Linked DNA regions of Caenorhabditis elegans. The protein of the gene in region 3 interacts with the protein of the main gene of each other region in a pairwise test. Each region holds a gene or a part of one and is shown on either strand. Other genes may lie near its edges.

The links.
Region 1: the proteins of ctnb-1 (region 3) and col-145 interact in a two-hybrid assay, tested with the Caenorhabditis elegans proteins (one large-scale study listed by BioGRID).
Region 2: the proteins of ctnb-1 (region 3) and cup-16 interact in a two-hybrid assay, tested with the Caenorhabditis elegans proteins (one large-scale study listed by BioGRID).

What each region holds. Positions count from the first base shown.
Region 1 is NC_003283.11:9,161,460-9,164,642, forward strand, and holds col-145 (Putative cuticle collagen 145), read right to left. Parts: upstream 1,547-3,183; 5' UTR 1,531-1,546; coding exon 1,420-1,530; intron 1,366-1,419; coding exon 592-1,365; 3' UTR 533-591; downstream 1-532. Other genes in the region: col-10 (Cuticle collagen 10), read right to left, coding at 2,897-3,183. UniProt on the Caenorhabditis elegans protein: Nematode cuticles are composed largely of collagen-like proteins. The cuticle functions both as an exoskeleton and as a barrier to protect the worm from its environment.
Region 2 is NC_003280.10:8,705,072-8,709,378, forward strand, and holds cup-16 (uncharacterized protein), read left to right. Parts: upstream 1-2,083; 5' UTR 2,084-2,332; coding exon 2,333-2,476; intron 2,477-2,525; coding exon 2,526-2,787; intron 2,788-2,874; coding exon 2,875-3,407; intron 3,408-3,456; coding exon 3,457-3,612; intron 3,613-3,617; exon of another isoform or gene 3,618-3,654; coding exon 3,655-3,738; 3' UTR 3,739-3,789; downstream 3,790-4,307. Other genes in the region: prx-5 (TPR_REGION domain-containing protein), read left to right, coding at 1-87, 136-480, 529-759, 905-994, 1,047-1,510, 1,557-1,650; srg-15 (Serpentine receptor class gamma-15), read right to left, coding at 3,998-4,115, 4,157-4,242.
Region 3 is NC_003279.8:5,577,957-5,582,427, reverse strand, and holds ctnb-1 (Beta-catenin-like protein 1 N-terminal domain-containing protein), read right to left. Parts: upstream 2,763-4,471; coding exon 2,706-2,762; intron 2,664-2,705; coding exon 2,103-2,663; intron 2,059-2,102; coding exon 1,855-2,058; intron 1,811-1,854; coding exon 1,702-1,810; intron 1,639-1,701; coding exon 1,394-1,638; intron 1,143-1,393; coding exon 1,024-1,142; intron 974-1,023; coding exon 634-973; 3' UTR 566-633; downstream 1-565. Other genes in the region: M01E11.1 (Protein-S-isoprenylcysteine O-methyltransferase), read right to left, coding at 1-29, 75-326; klp-15 (Kinesin motor domain-containing protein), read left to right, coding at 3,247-3,400, 3,532-4,319, 4,367-4,471.

The DNA.
Region 1 (3,183 bases), on a different chromosome or scaffold from region 3:
ACAATAATGTAACAAATTCAAATTGCGTTTTATGTTTAATTAAAACATGTTTGTTGTTCTTTCCTATACATGAAACTATTTAGCCAAAATATTTGGATTAAATGTTTCCCACAGTTCTGGGTTCCATCAAAGGATCCCTAAAAAAAGGAAAGCCAGTTTTTTTTTCAAAACTTTTCCCATCATCTCTCTTTCTTCCGCAACATTGTCACTTATCCATCTGACACCTGCGGTGTTCGAAACAGGATCAGATTGTTGGTCGGCTGACTCTAATTTGAACGCTTCTTTTTCGAAGCGAAAAATCAGACTTTATGAAGATTGATTAATGATGTAGCAATGATTTTGTATCTCAAAAATGTTTTTGTTGTTGTTTTTGGTTATATTGGACAACAGAAGAAAAGGTTGAATCAAACAATAAATGTTGAGTAACTACATGATTTTACACTACATTGCTTCAATCGGGTGCTACTGTTGACTTCTCCTTATGTTTTCAGCTGATTTCAATCGGTAAACAAGGCTGTTAAAAATATGAAAGACAAAGTAAAAATTTTATTTTATGACATGGAAAGTATTGAGAATACAATGAAAGTAAATTTAATGGCGGGAAAGGAAAACAGCGGATCTTGGTGGGCAAGCGCAATAAGCGGCGTCGTTTCCTGGAAGTCCTGGTCCTCCTGGGGCTCCTGGCTGTCCATCGGATCCAGCATTTCCTGGGAATCCGTCTTGCCCAGCTGGTCCGGCTGGTCCTGGGGCTCCGTCTTGTCCTGGGAATCCATCTTGTCCTGCTGGTCCAGCTGGTCCAGCGTTTCCTGGGGCTCCTGGGGCTCCTGGAGCTCCAGATCCGCGTTGTCCGTCGGCTCCTGGCTGTCCTGGGAATCCGTCTTGTCCTGGTGTTCCTGGTTGTCCGTTGTCTCCTGGGGCTCCTGGGGCTCCTGGGAATCCGTCGTTACCGCGTTGTCCTGGGAATCCTGGTTGTCCGTCTGGTCCGGCTGGTCCGGCTGGTCCTGATGGTCCGGCTGGTCCTGCTGGTCCTTGTGGGCACTTGACGCAATCTTGGGAGACTGGGGCGCAGGTCAGTGGAGCGAAGGTAGCGGTGTTGTCGTCTCCCTTTGGTCCTGGGGCTCCTGGGGTTCCTGGGGCTCCTGGCTGTCCTGGTGGTCCTGGTGGTCCTGGTGGGCAAGTTGGCTTAGTTGGCTCACATTGGCACCAGGCTGGAAGTCCAGAGAAAGTTTGACGCTTTTGACGGAAGACGGAGTTGAATGGGTTGACACGTGGCTTGGTTGGTGGGGTAACGGTGATCTGGATGTCCATCATCTCGGTCCATGCAGAGTCGGTCTCAACACGGAAAACAGAGACTCCATCGAGTACCTATAAAATTGAAATTTTGTTTTAACTATTTTGTAAAAGTATATATATATAAACCTGATCGTGAACTTCATTGATGGTGTTGTAGAGGGATGGGACGGTGAAAAGAACAGCAAGAACAGCAATGGAGGCAGCTCCGGTAGAAAAGGTTACAAGAATCTTCTCCATGACTGAAAGCCTTGGTGTCTTTCCTAGTTATCTTGCCTCCTTTTATACTCCTCTTTTTGAATTACTCATACAGTTTTTTTTTGCATAGAGATGTGTAATGAAATATTCCATTTGTCTCCATGAACTCGCTTTTTTTCTTGTCTTTCTTGCCTCAACTTCCTCATTCAGAAGCCACAAACGAGGAAGATAGTAAAGTGGGCAGGCCGTAGAGAAAAAGCGGACAAAGATGAAATGCTTTTCTCTCAGTAGGTGATAGAGGAAGAAGGACGGACAACTTTCTCTCGAGGCGATTGCATGATATGTTGCGATCTGAATGTGTCAGATGGGATGTTATTTAGAAATATTTTGCGTTACCTTAAAATTCCTTGACTGGATGATAACATTTACAATTAAACCTCTTGGATCGCTCACGGGGTGCGCCTGACTGAATTTTTAGAATGGTTGTTGATGAATATGTAAAACAAAACATTGATGAACATTTTATATCTGGCCTTACAAAATGTAAGTCATTGCTTTATTAGACTCCGAAATCTCCCTCGAAAGCACTTCATTTTAAAATGAGATGTCTAGAAAGTTTCACAAAAAAAGTTATGACAGTTTGAAGATTGAAAAAATAATCCATTTCCGGGTAAAAACTCAAATTTTGTCAACTTGACAATGTTACGACTCGCGAAAACTAGTGTAAATTAATTATTCACTAGTCACTATTCGTATTGCATATCTTGGTATATTACCGAATATTGTTTCGCTGATTGAGGTATTTTGTCAGCCGATGGGTGCAAAAACCAGCAAAACCCTTGTACATGTGTATGCTCTTATTACTTGATAGGTACCTATAAACTAGTGTTCCTACTATTCGCAATCTCCATGACTGAAAGCCTTGATGTCTTTCCTAGTTAAATCGTAGAAAAATTGATAATTTCTCAAAGCGGTATTCAAATTTTCGACTCTAAACTCGTCCGAACTTGGCGAAACTTTTATCCCATTTCATCTTGTGAAAAAATTAGTGACCTTTAGTCACAGACTGCATAATGATATTTAAGTTACACTTTTTTCTAAGCCATTCTTAACAAAAACACACTTCATTTACTTTATGTTTATTACAACCAACATTTTTGTCGTCTACTAAACAATGAAACCTTTCAGCCTCTTTCCTCGCACTCTTGTCAGGTGGAATTACACTTATCTTCATGGCAGACCAAAAAGACAAAGTGAAATTTTTCGAAATGACTATTGAAATAAGAATGTCTCTCGTGTGTTCGGCAAACATTAACTTGTAGTTTGATGTATTATTAAAAGTAAAATTTGAATGAAAATGATTTTATTTTGATAAAAAGAAAAGAGACGATGCTTGTCTTGAACCAATCTAATGGCGGGAGACGAAGACAGCGGATCTTGGTGGGCAAGCGCAATAAGCGGCATCGTTTCCTGGAAGTCCTGGTCCTCCTGGGGCTCCTGGTTGTCCATCGGATCCAGCGTTTCCTGGGGCTCCATCTTGTCCAGCTGGTCCGGCTGGTCCTGGTTGTCCGTCTTGTCCTGGGGCTCCGTCTTGTCCGGCTGGTCCAGCTGGTCCAGCGTTTCCTGGGGCTCCTGGTCCTCCTGGGGCTCCGGATCCACGTTGTCCGTCTTGTCCTGGGGCTCCTGGTTGTCCGT
Region 2 (4,307 bases), on a different chromosome or scaffold from region 3:
ATGAAGTCGATGCAGAATAATTTACCACAGGCATCAGCATCCTCAAGTTTGGCAGCAAATTGGACAAAGGAGTTTCAACCGCGACAGGTATTTCTAATGCATTCATATATTGGTATTTTCAATTGATTGCTTCAGAACCAGTTAGCGAGTCAATGGAGTCAACAATACACATCTAGTGCTCCAAGCATGGAATCTGCATGGCGTCAAGTTCAAGCTCCATCAATGACATCCACGTCATCACATCAACCAATAACAGATGCTGGTATGTGGTCATCTGAATATCTGGATACTGTGGATACTTCTTTAACCAAATCTTCTGGGACTCAAAACTGGGCTGATGATTTTATGGAGCAACAAGATAATTATGGAATGGAAAACACTTGGAAAGATGCACAGGCTTTTGAACAGAGATGGGAGGAAATTAAGAGAGATATGGAAAAGGACGAATCTCTTCAAAGTCCTGAAAACTATGTTTATCAGGTAAGATTTTTGTCTTCTTTAACACATTTTTATAACCCTCCTATTCAGGAAGCAAACCCTTTCACAACCATGTCAGATCCACTGATGGAAGGAGACAATCTAATGAGAAATGGAGATATTGGAAATGCCATGCTTGCCTATGAAGCAGCAGTTCAAAAAGATCCTCAGGATGCACGTGCCTGGTGTAAATTAGGATTGGCTCATGCTGAAAATGAAAAAGATCAGTTAGCAATGCAAGCGTTCCAAAAATGTTTGCAGATTGACGCTGGAAACAAGGAGGTAAAATTTGAGAAAAATATTTGATTATTTGATGCCATAAAATAGATAGGTCGCGATAAAATTCATATCTGTCTCTTAAAACTTTTTAAGAACAGAAATTAAGAAAAAAAAAAAAAAACTTCCAATAAAATCAAAATTATTTCAGGCACTTCTTGGTTTGTCTGTCAGTCAAGCGAACGAAGGAATGGAAAATGAAGCTTTACATCAATTGGATAAATGGATGTCTTCTTACTTGGTATTTCTTATTTTTATTTCAAGAATAATCCCACACGAATAAATATTTTAAGGGTTCAAACTCGACTCAAGTGACAACCACACCTCCACTCTACTCTTCATTTCTGGACAGTGACACTTTTAATCGAGTTGAGGCTAGATTCTTGGATGCTGCTCGGCAACAAGGAGCAACTCCAGATCCAGATCTTCAAAATGCTCTCGGAGTTTTATACAACTTGAATCGCAATTTTGCAAGAGCTGTCGACTCTCTCAAGTTGGCGATCTCCAAAAATCCAACTGATGCTCGTCTCTGGAATCGTCTTGGTGCTACGTTAGCCAATGGTGACCACACAGCTGAAGCCATTTCAGCATATCGAGAAGCTTTGAAATTGTATCCAACATATGTCAGAGCAAGATACAATTTGGGAATATCTTGTATGCAATTATCATCTTATGATGAAGCTTTGAAACATTTTTTATCTGCATTAGAATTGCAAAAAGGAGGAAATGATGCATCTGGTATTTGGACAACTATGAGGTTAGTTTATAGCTTTATATGTTAAAATCACCTTCACAAATTTCAGATCAGCAGCAATCCGAACATCGAATGTCCCTGACAATTTACTGAGAGCAGTGGAAAGACGAGATTTGGCAGCTGTAAAAGCCTCTCTAGTCTAGAATAATTACAATTTAAATACTAAAATAAATAATTATTTTTCCTCGAATTTTTTTACTTGGTTTTCAAACTTTCATTTTGAAAATCTCAATTTCAAGCCGATCACGAGTTTGGAAGGGTCATAAAATGTTATTACAGCGGTAAGAAAGCAGGAAGTAAACCGACCTAGCACAAAAAGTGTTCAGCTCATTTTGTTTTGTTTGTAGAACTCACATTGTTAGAGCTCAATGAAATGATTGAATAATGCCTAAATTAAAATAACATTCTTCAAGACTTCTAGACACTAAGTAATCAAATCCTATCATTTCTCTTACGGTGAATTTCTACAAAATGCTCAGAAATTCCACATGAGTCACCGTTCCATGAGTAAAACCTCGGAACATATGACTGATTCTATTTATTATCATCTTTCCGCCACCCTCTTCCAAACGTCTCACTCTTTTCTATTTGCCGGTCATCGAACACATTCTTCCTTTTCTCTTTCTGTCTTTGAAGCACATGACATGGCCATTTATCATGAAAAGGTACAGCTGGTTGAAGAAGAAGAAGATCCGAGAGAAACAGCTCCAATTGAGAGGAGCACAGTCACAAGTTTTCTCTTTCTTTTTTCCTCTCTTCTATCCAAAACATCTTCAATAGCTGTAATATTCCCCTGGAAATCTTAGTTCAACTTGTTCTTGATTTATGATTTGTTGGCTCAATTTATCGATATTTTATTTTGTATTCTCTCTGTATCAATGTCATCAAGAAGAATTATCACAAAATATAGAAGTCACTGCATCTGATTCTGCAGCAGAACATGAAGTGTTTGAAGGAATATCATCAAATGTGAGTTTTGAGTTGAAGATTGCTTCTAAAGTTTAAAACTTAGTTATAGATTGCTGGGAAAGGAGAAAAGTTAGAAGAAGAAATAGATAACATTGGTATTGTAATGCAACCAGAGCCACGAGTTGTCCATGAAGCTTCCGAAGTATCAGACAACATTGAACTTAATATCAAAGACGACCTAAACTTGAAAAGTAGACTGGACAACTTCACAAGAGCTAAATTCAGGCAATCAACCACCGTAACACCTAATATTGTTGCTGTGGAGCCTTCTATTGAAGGTGTTGAAGACGATTTAGATCATGATGAACAAGGTGAAACATTTAGAATCAATTTAATATTTTTTTCATATTGAACTCATTAGATGTAGACGATTAACCTGTATCATCAGCATGTTTCAGGAGAACCAGAAGACAGTGAAATTCGAAATCGGAACGAGCACCATTTTGCTGAGTTGGGCGGAAAAATGAAGGAACGCAGGGATCATGTAGATGATCCCGATATTCAAGAACCATTGAATAAGCCAATATCGGCTATTCCAGAAGAGACTTCAAATTCTGCAACTATTCAATATGAAAGAAGTTCGTCTGGAACACAAAACCCGCAAACTTCTTTAAATATTCCGACTGCTCAGAATGTACCAAAACTAAAACAATTAAAAAATCAAGAGATTCTAAAGGATCATTTTATTTCGGAAGTATCAGATGTTTCCAACGTTGCAGATGTTTCAGCGCCTATTGTTATTAGTCAAGTACCTGAAATATTGAATGGAGAACCCGCAGGAGTACCTGCCAATTTTGAAGAAGAAGACAAAGAACGTGTAGAAGAAGAGGAAGATCGCATCAGTTGGGATCTTATTCATTTTCTACTTTTGTTAAGTCCATATGAAGAAGGTGAAGTTACTTGGTGGACAATTGTTCTTGAAGCCGTTAAGGTTAGTTTTTGATAAAGTATAAATATACGAAAATATTTTAAAAATTCAGTGCTCTCTTCGAAGTTGTCATAATTCATCATCTCACTGGCATGATAGATCTGTGTATCTTCCGAGAATAACTCGACATCGTCGTCAAGATTCAGACTATTTACCTGGAGCACTTTCTCCAACAACACCAAAACCCTGTTTGTGCAACAATTTAGAGGTTGATATCAAAACGTTATTATTAATGATTTAAATTTTACAGACTTATTTCGAAAAACTGTATGAATCAGTTGGGAAAAAAAAGAAGGAAAAGAAAATATCAAATTCAACAACGAAATTTGTATAAAAATTCCGTAAATATGTACGTAATTCAATAAAGGTTCAACTTTTATACTATAATTAAACAAACAAATACAAACTATTTCTGCTTCAAAAATCTATATTTTCAAAGAATAAATAGCTGACTTACTCATGAATCTGAGAACAGAATCAAAAGTAAATGTTTTTGGAAGTTCTCAATCTTTTTAGAAACATAACAATCAAACGTATGTTCTAAAACGATTTAAAACCTTTAAAAAAATTTATTAACTGATTCAATTTTCAGATCAATGAGTAAATGAGTTATTGATCGTTTGAACTCTGAAAATCCGATCGTCTTCTGCTTTTGAAGGAAGTATTAATCCACGTATCTGGCTATTACTCCAAAATAATATAACAGCAGATCTGAAACTTAATGCATTAAACATCAAAAAGTTATCGCCTACCCAACAGTAAACATATCAAACGCCAGAAATTGAGCAGTGAATAATAAATCAGATGACATGCAACTAGTGCAAAACGCATATAGAGCCTGAAATTTTTTGAAAAATTCAAATAATAACGGGAAAAATTATTGCGAGCAATGTCTAAACATTC
Region 3 (4,471 bases):
ACTGAATAAGCCAGGCTCACTGCTACAGCCTGAAATCTAGAAAAAAATACTCGAGATGTAGAAAATCCACTCACACAGCCCAAAAGTGCAGCAGGCATCAGAATTGATTTGTTGGTGAATACACGTTTTCTCGCGAACAGATAAGCAATCAGAATCGTCAGTAAACTCGCAAGAATTCCAAAAACGAAGCTGGAAGTTGATGCGGATACGGTAGCCACCACGGCAAAAGATGCCATAAATGCATCGATAGCTGTTCGGAAATCATCATCAGATTTCAGATGAAAAGCTATTCTTCCAACAAAAGTTGGAGGAGGAATAGGAGGCATTTTTATCTGAATGATAGTAAATTAGGCCATTGGAAATAATTTTTGATAAATGGCAAATTTTCTTCGAATCTTCAAACTTTTGCTAGTAATCCAATCTATAAAGCTTTTTTAAAAAGTTTATCGATTTAAAAAAAATTGGTTTGAAACATTAATTTTTAGATCTTGGAGTATTTAAATATGAAAAACTGCATGCAACAGTTGAAAATTTAATAAAATTAAAAACAAAACACAAATTCATAGCACAAACTTGAAACTTTTCATAAACCGGAGAACAAAAAATAAATAAAGGAAAAATGCTAGTGATAAATTATTTGTAAAAATCTTCAATTTTACTGAGCATAACGAGGACTCTTTCTTGCTCAATATTAGCATCATCACCAAGATTGTCACTGTATTCTTGAATAATTGGACACAACATCAAATCCAATCGATTTTGGCTCATTTTCATTTGGAAAAGCTTCTCCTCTCTGAGACGAGCCGATTCAACACCAACTGCCACTTCACCGAGTATAAGAGTAAGACGTTGAAGCGTGTAGAGACCATTGTCTAGTTTATCCAAATATGCTCGATCTGGATCATCATCTTCTGATGTTCCAGCTTCTTGTGATTGACGCTTCTTTTTCAATTCAAATCGTTGAACTTTTTCTCTGAAATTGAAATAAAATTATTTTTCATAACGGAATGTGCTTCAACTCACTTGTACTTCAAAAATAGCTCCACAGCTCTGTCCACTTTCTCATGTTCGTGCTCAACAAATTTTTGAACAATTCGTTGACGGTGGTTCTCCGAACATGCTGCCAGCAGTGAAGAGAGAATCTAAAAAATTATTATTTATCATCAAAAGAACATTTCCTACAATATAAATTAGTCACTTTTTGTAAAATGTAATTCGTAGAAATAGATTTTTCGATTTTTAATTTAATTATATGTTCGATAAGTATCAAAAAGTGCAAGGCAGATTTGAAAACTCAATTTTTGTTCAAAAAAGGAGAAAAACCGAAAGTCCGATTTACCAGTCCAATTTTGAAGCTAAAACATTCAAAATAATATCACAACATAAATCTTACCGTACAAACGTGTTCTTCATGTTCATCAGGTGTCGTATCCTTTCTTTTTGTCTTTGAAGGTGTTCTCATGAATAACGGGAAAATTGTTCTCAATCCGAGCATTTCGACAAGTTTATTGCAATTTTCGATTCCCTCGTCTCCTGATGTTGCATGGTTCAGAACTTTCAGAGCACTTTGTCTTGCTTGTTTCTTCTCTCGGAGCATCAAATTCATCAATTGAAGACCTTCTCCGTCGAGGAACTTTTCTGAAAACATTTATTTTGAACAAGAGCAATTTTTTTGGTGTTTATATTCAAAAAAATTCGTACTTCGATTAGCCGGATGCATAAGTGCGGCACAAAGTGAGTTGAATAGATTTTCCATGTATTCTCGTTCGTCTACATTTGCTGGATCGTTCTTTTTGTACACAGCAATGGTCTTAAAAGTTCAATTTATTCTTGATACTTTGTTTGGCTACTCACTCTCAATAAAATATCGATGCCATCAATTTTCTCTGTCAGCTTTGCCTTTGCAGTATCAGAAGTCTGCAATATGACTGAAAGAAGTTCCGAAGCGTACATCTTATTCGCATCAAATGCACCTTTCTGAAAGCATCTTTTCAGAAGCCAAACCGTGAATCCGTGCTTTACGCATTCTTCAGTAATGTCATCGCGGAAACCAATCATCTGAAAATATATTGTTTTGTTTTTCAAATATCGATTTTTCTTACATTGTCCACAACTCCGAGTGCATTATGGACGCCATCCGCTTCATCTTTGACGCTTTCATCGAGCCTCTCTACGCATGCTAACAAAGTTGTGATAATCGATCCAGACACAAGACTTTCAATAAGTTCAGCTGCTCCATCTTCTCCTTCGTTCATCACATCATCGTCTGTAAGTTCTCTCAAGAGACTAAGTGTTGCACACACAATATCAGTATTCTCGTGTCCTAATAATTGAAGAAGAATTTCAACTCCGTTGACTTCAACAAACGATCCATAAAGGTCTGGTTGAGAAGCCAGACTATGCATTTCTTGAATTGCCTTGTCTAATTCAATTTCCGATTCCATGAATTTCTGAGCATCATCTGGATTTTTAACTCTTTGTTCTCGATTTAATCGCATCTTTTTGTCAAGTTGAATAACAAGTTTCTTAACTTGCACATCGTCGAGAGCCACATAATTTGATTGATCGGCTTCCAAAGCCGCAAGAATATCTTCTGGTTTTGGCTGGCCAGCTTGAGATGAAGAAGAAGCACTATCGTCAAAACGAGATTTCTTTCTTGCTGGCTGTAAACTATTTATAATCAAAAAAATTTAATATCAATTTACCTGATACAAAGAAGATGTCGATGATTTGATAATCTCTGTTACATCGATAGAAGTCATCTGGAAACAATCATTTACCAACCTATATTTTTAAAAAACCACAGAAAAATCAAAATATTGAAGAAAGTGTATAAAAATTTTCGCAAGCAAATATTTTCAAATTTTTTTTTTGCAATTACTTTGGTGTAGATATACGGTAAACAAGGCGCGCACCGGAATATCGGAGTGTCGCTCACATTATAATTTCTAGACCTGCATTTTATATATTTGTTTGTATAACCTGATATCAGTGCAATTATGGATAAGCCTTCTGTGTTATAGTTATAAATAATTTTTACGGCATTCTTTATGCCTTTTGACAACAAAATAATTATATCCGACAATTCTGGATGAGCTCAACATGATATAAATTTTTGATCTAATACCGTAGTTGACTACGGTAATCCATTCGATTTGGCGGGAATTTTCAGAGGCGGAGTTCAACTTTGAGCGGGAAAATGTCAATGAAGGGGCTGATTTCCTCATTTTTGTCCCAAATTTCGCGATGAATGTCGCTCGAAGAAGAAGTGGCCTGTTTCGGTCGACTATCGGAGCAACGCCGAAGATCACAAGAGGACGTGCTGCCGCGCCATCCACCAAAGAAGCCAATTCAACAACAATCCCAAGACAGTCGGCTCCTGGAGGAATAACGATTGGAGGTAAATTTGTCATTTGTGTTTTTAAATAACTTCCTCGTGATTTCAAAGTGTTCACACTTCTAAATAAAACATGTTTTTGTTTTTGTTTAAAACCTTTTTTGTTAACAACTACTTTAATTACGAGTTTTCAGCCGCTGCTCGTCGTCCTCCGTCTCGTTTGCCTACCCCCACAACGCCTGCAACTGGTAGAGCATCGTTGCCAGAACGATCAGCGATGGCCAAACCAGCGTCGTGTTCCCGTCCCATACCAACGATGCAATCCACCGCGAGCCGTATTTCCACACTGACGGCAGCTTCTACGTTTCGACAACTTCGCACAGGTCGTCCACCGCCACCATCCACTCAACGCTCAACTGCGACTTCTTCCCTGAAGCCGTCGGTGACAAGAGCCCGACCAGTGGCACAGAAGCCTATTCTCCCTTCTAAGATGGCGCTTCTTGAAGAGAAAATTGCGCAGCTCGAGAGTGCGATGGCTGAGGCTACCGACTTTGCTGAACATCAGAAGAGCAAGATCCAAATCCTGGATGGCAAACTTGAAGGAGCGGATCGCAAGCTGATTTCACTGCAAGATCAATTGAGCACGCTGAAAGAAGTCAACAAGGCGAAAGTGGAGGAGTGCGAGGATTATCGTGTGCACAACAACGATCTCCGGGATCTGCTCAACGAAAAGGAAGCTGAGTTGAGAAAGTTGCACAACGATGTTGTCGATTTACGCGGTCAAATTCGTGTGGCTGTTCGCGTTCGGCCGTTGATCAAATCTGAAGCCGACGCCTCGAGTTCTGCAATTGAGTATCCGGCTATCGATACCATCAGAATCAATGAAGGCTCGAAGCCTGGAATTGTGGTCAAATTCGAGAAGGTTTTCACGCCAGTCTTCTCGCAGAAGGAAGTGTTCGCGAACGTCGAGGAGTTCATTCGGGTTAGTTTCAAAATATAATATTAATAATTGAAAATTGATAATTTCAGTCGTCACTGCATGGGTACAACGTCGGATTGATTGCCTATGGACAAACCGGAAGTGGCAAAACTCACACGATGCGAGGAGGAAATGGTGAAGAGGAAGGAATCATC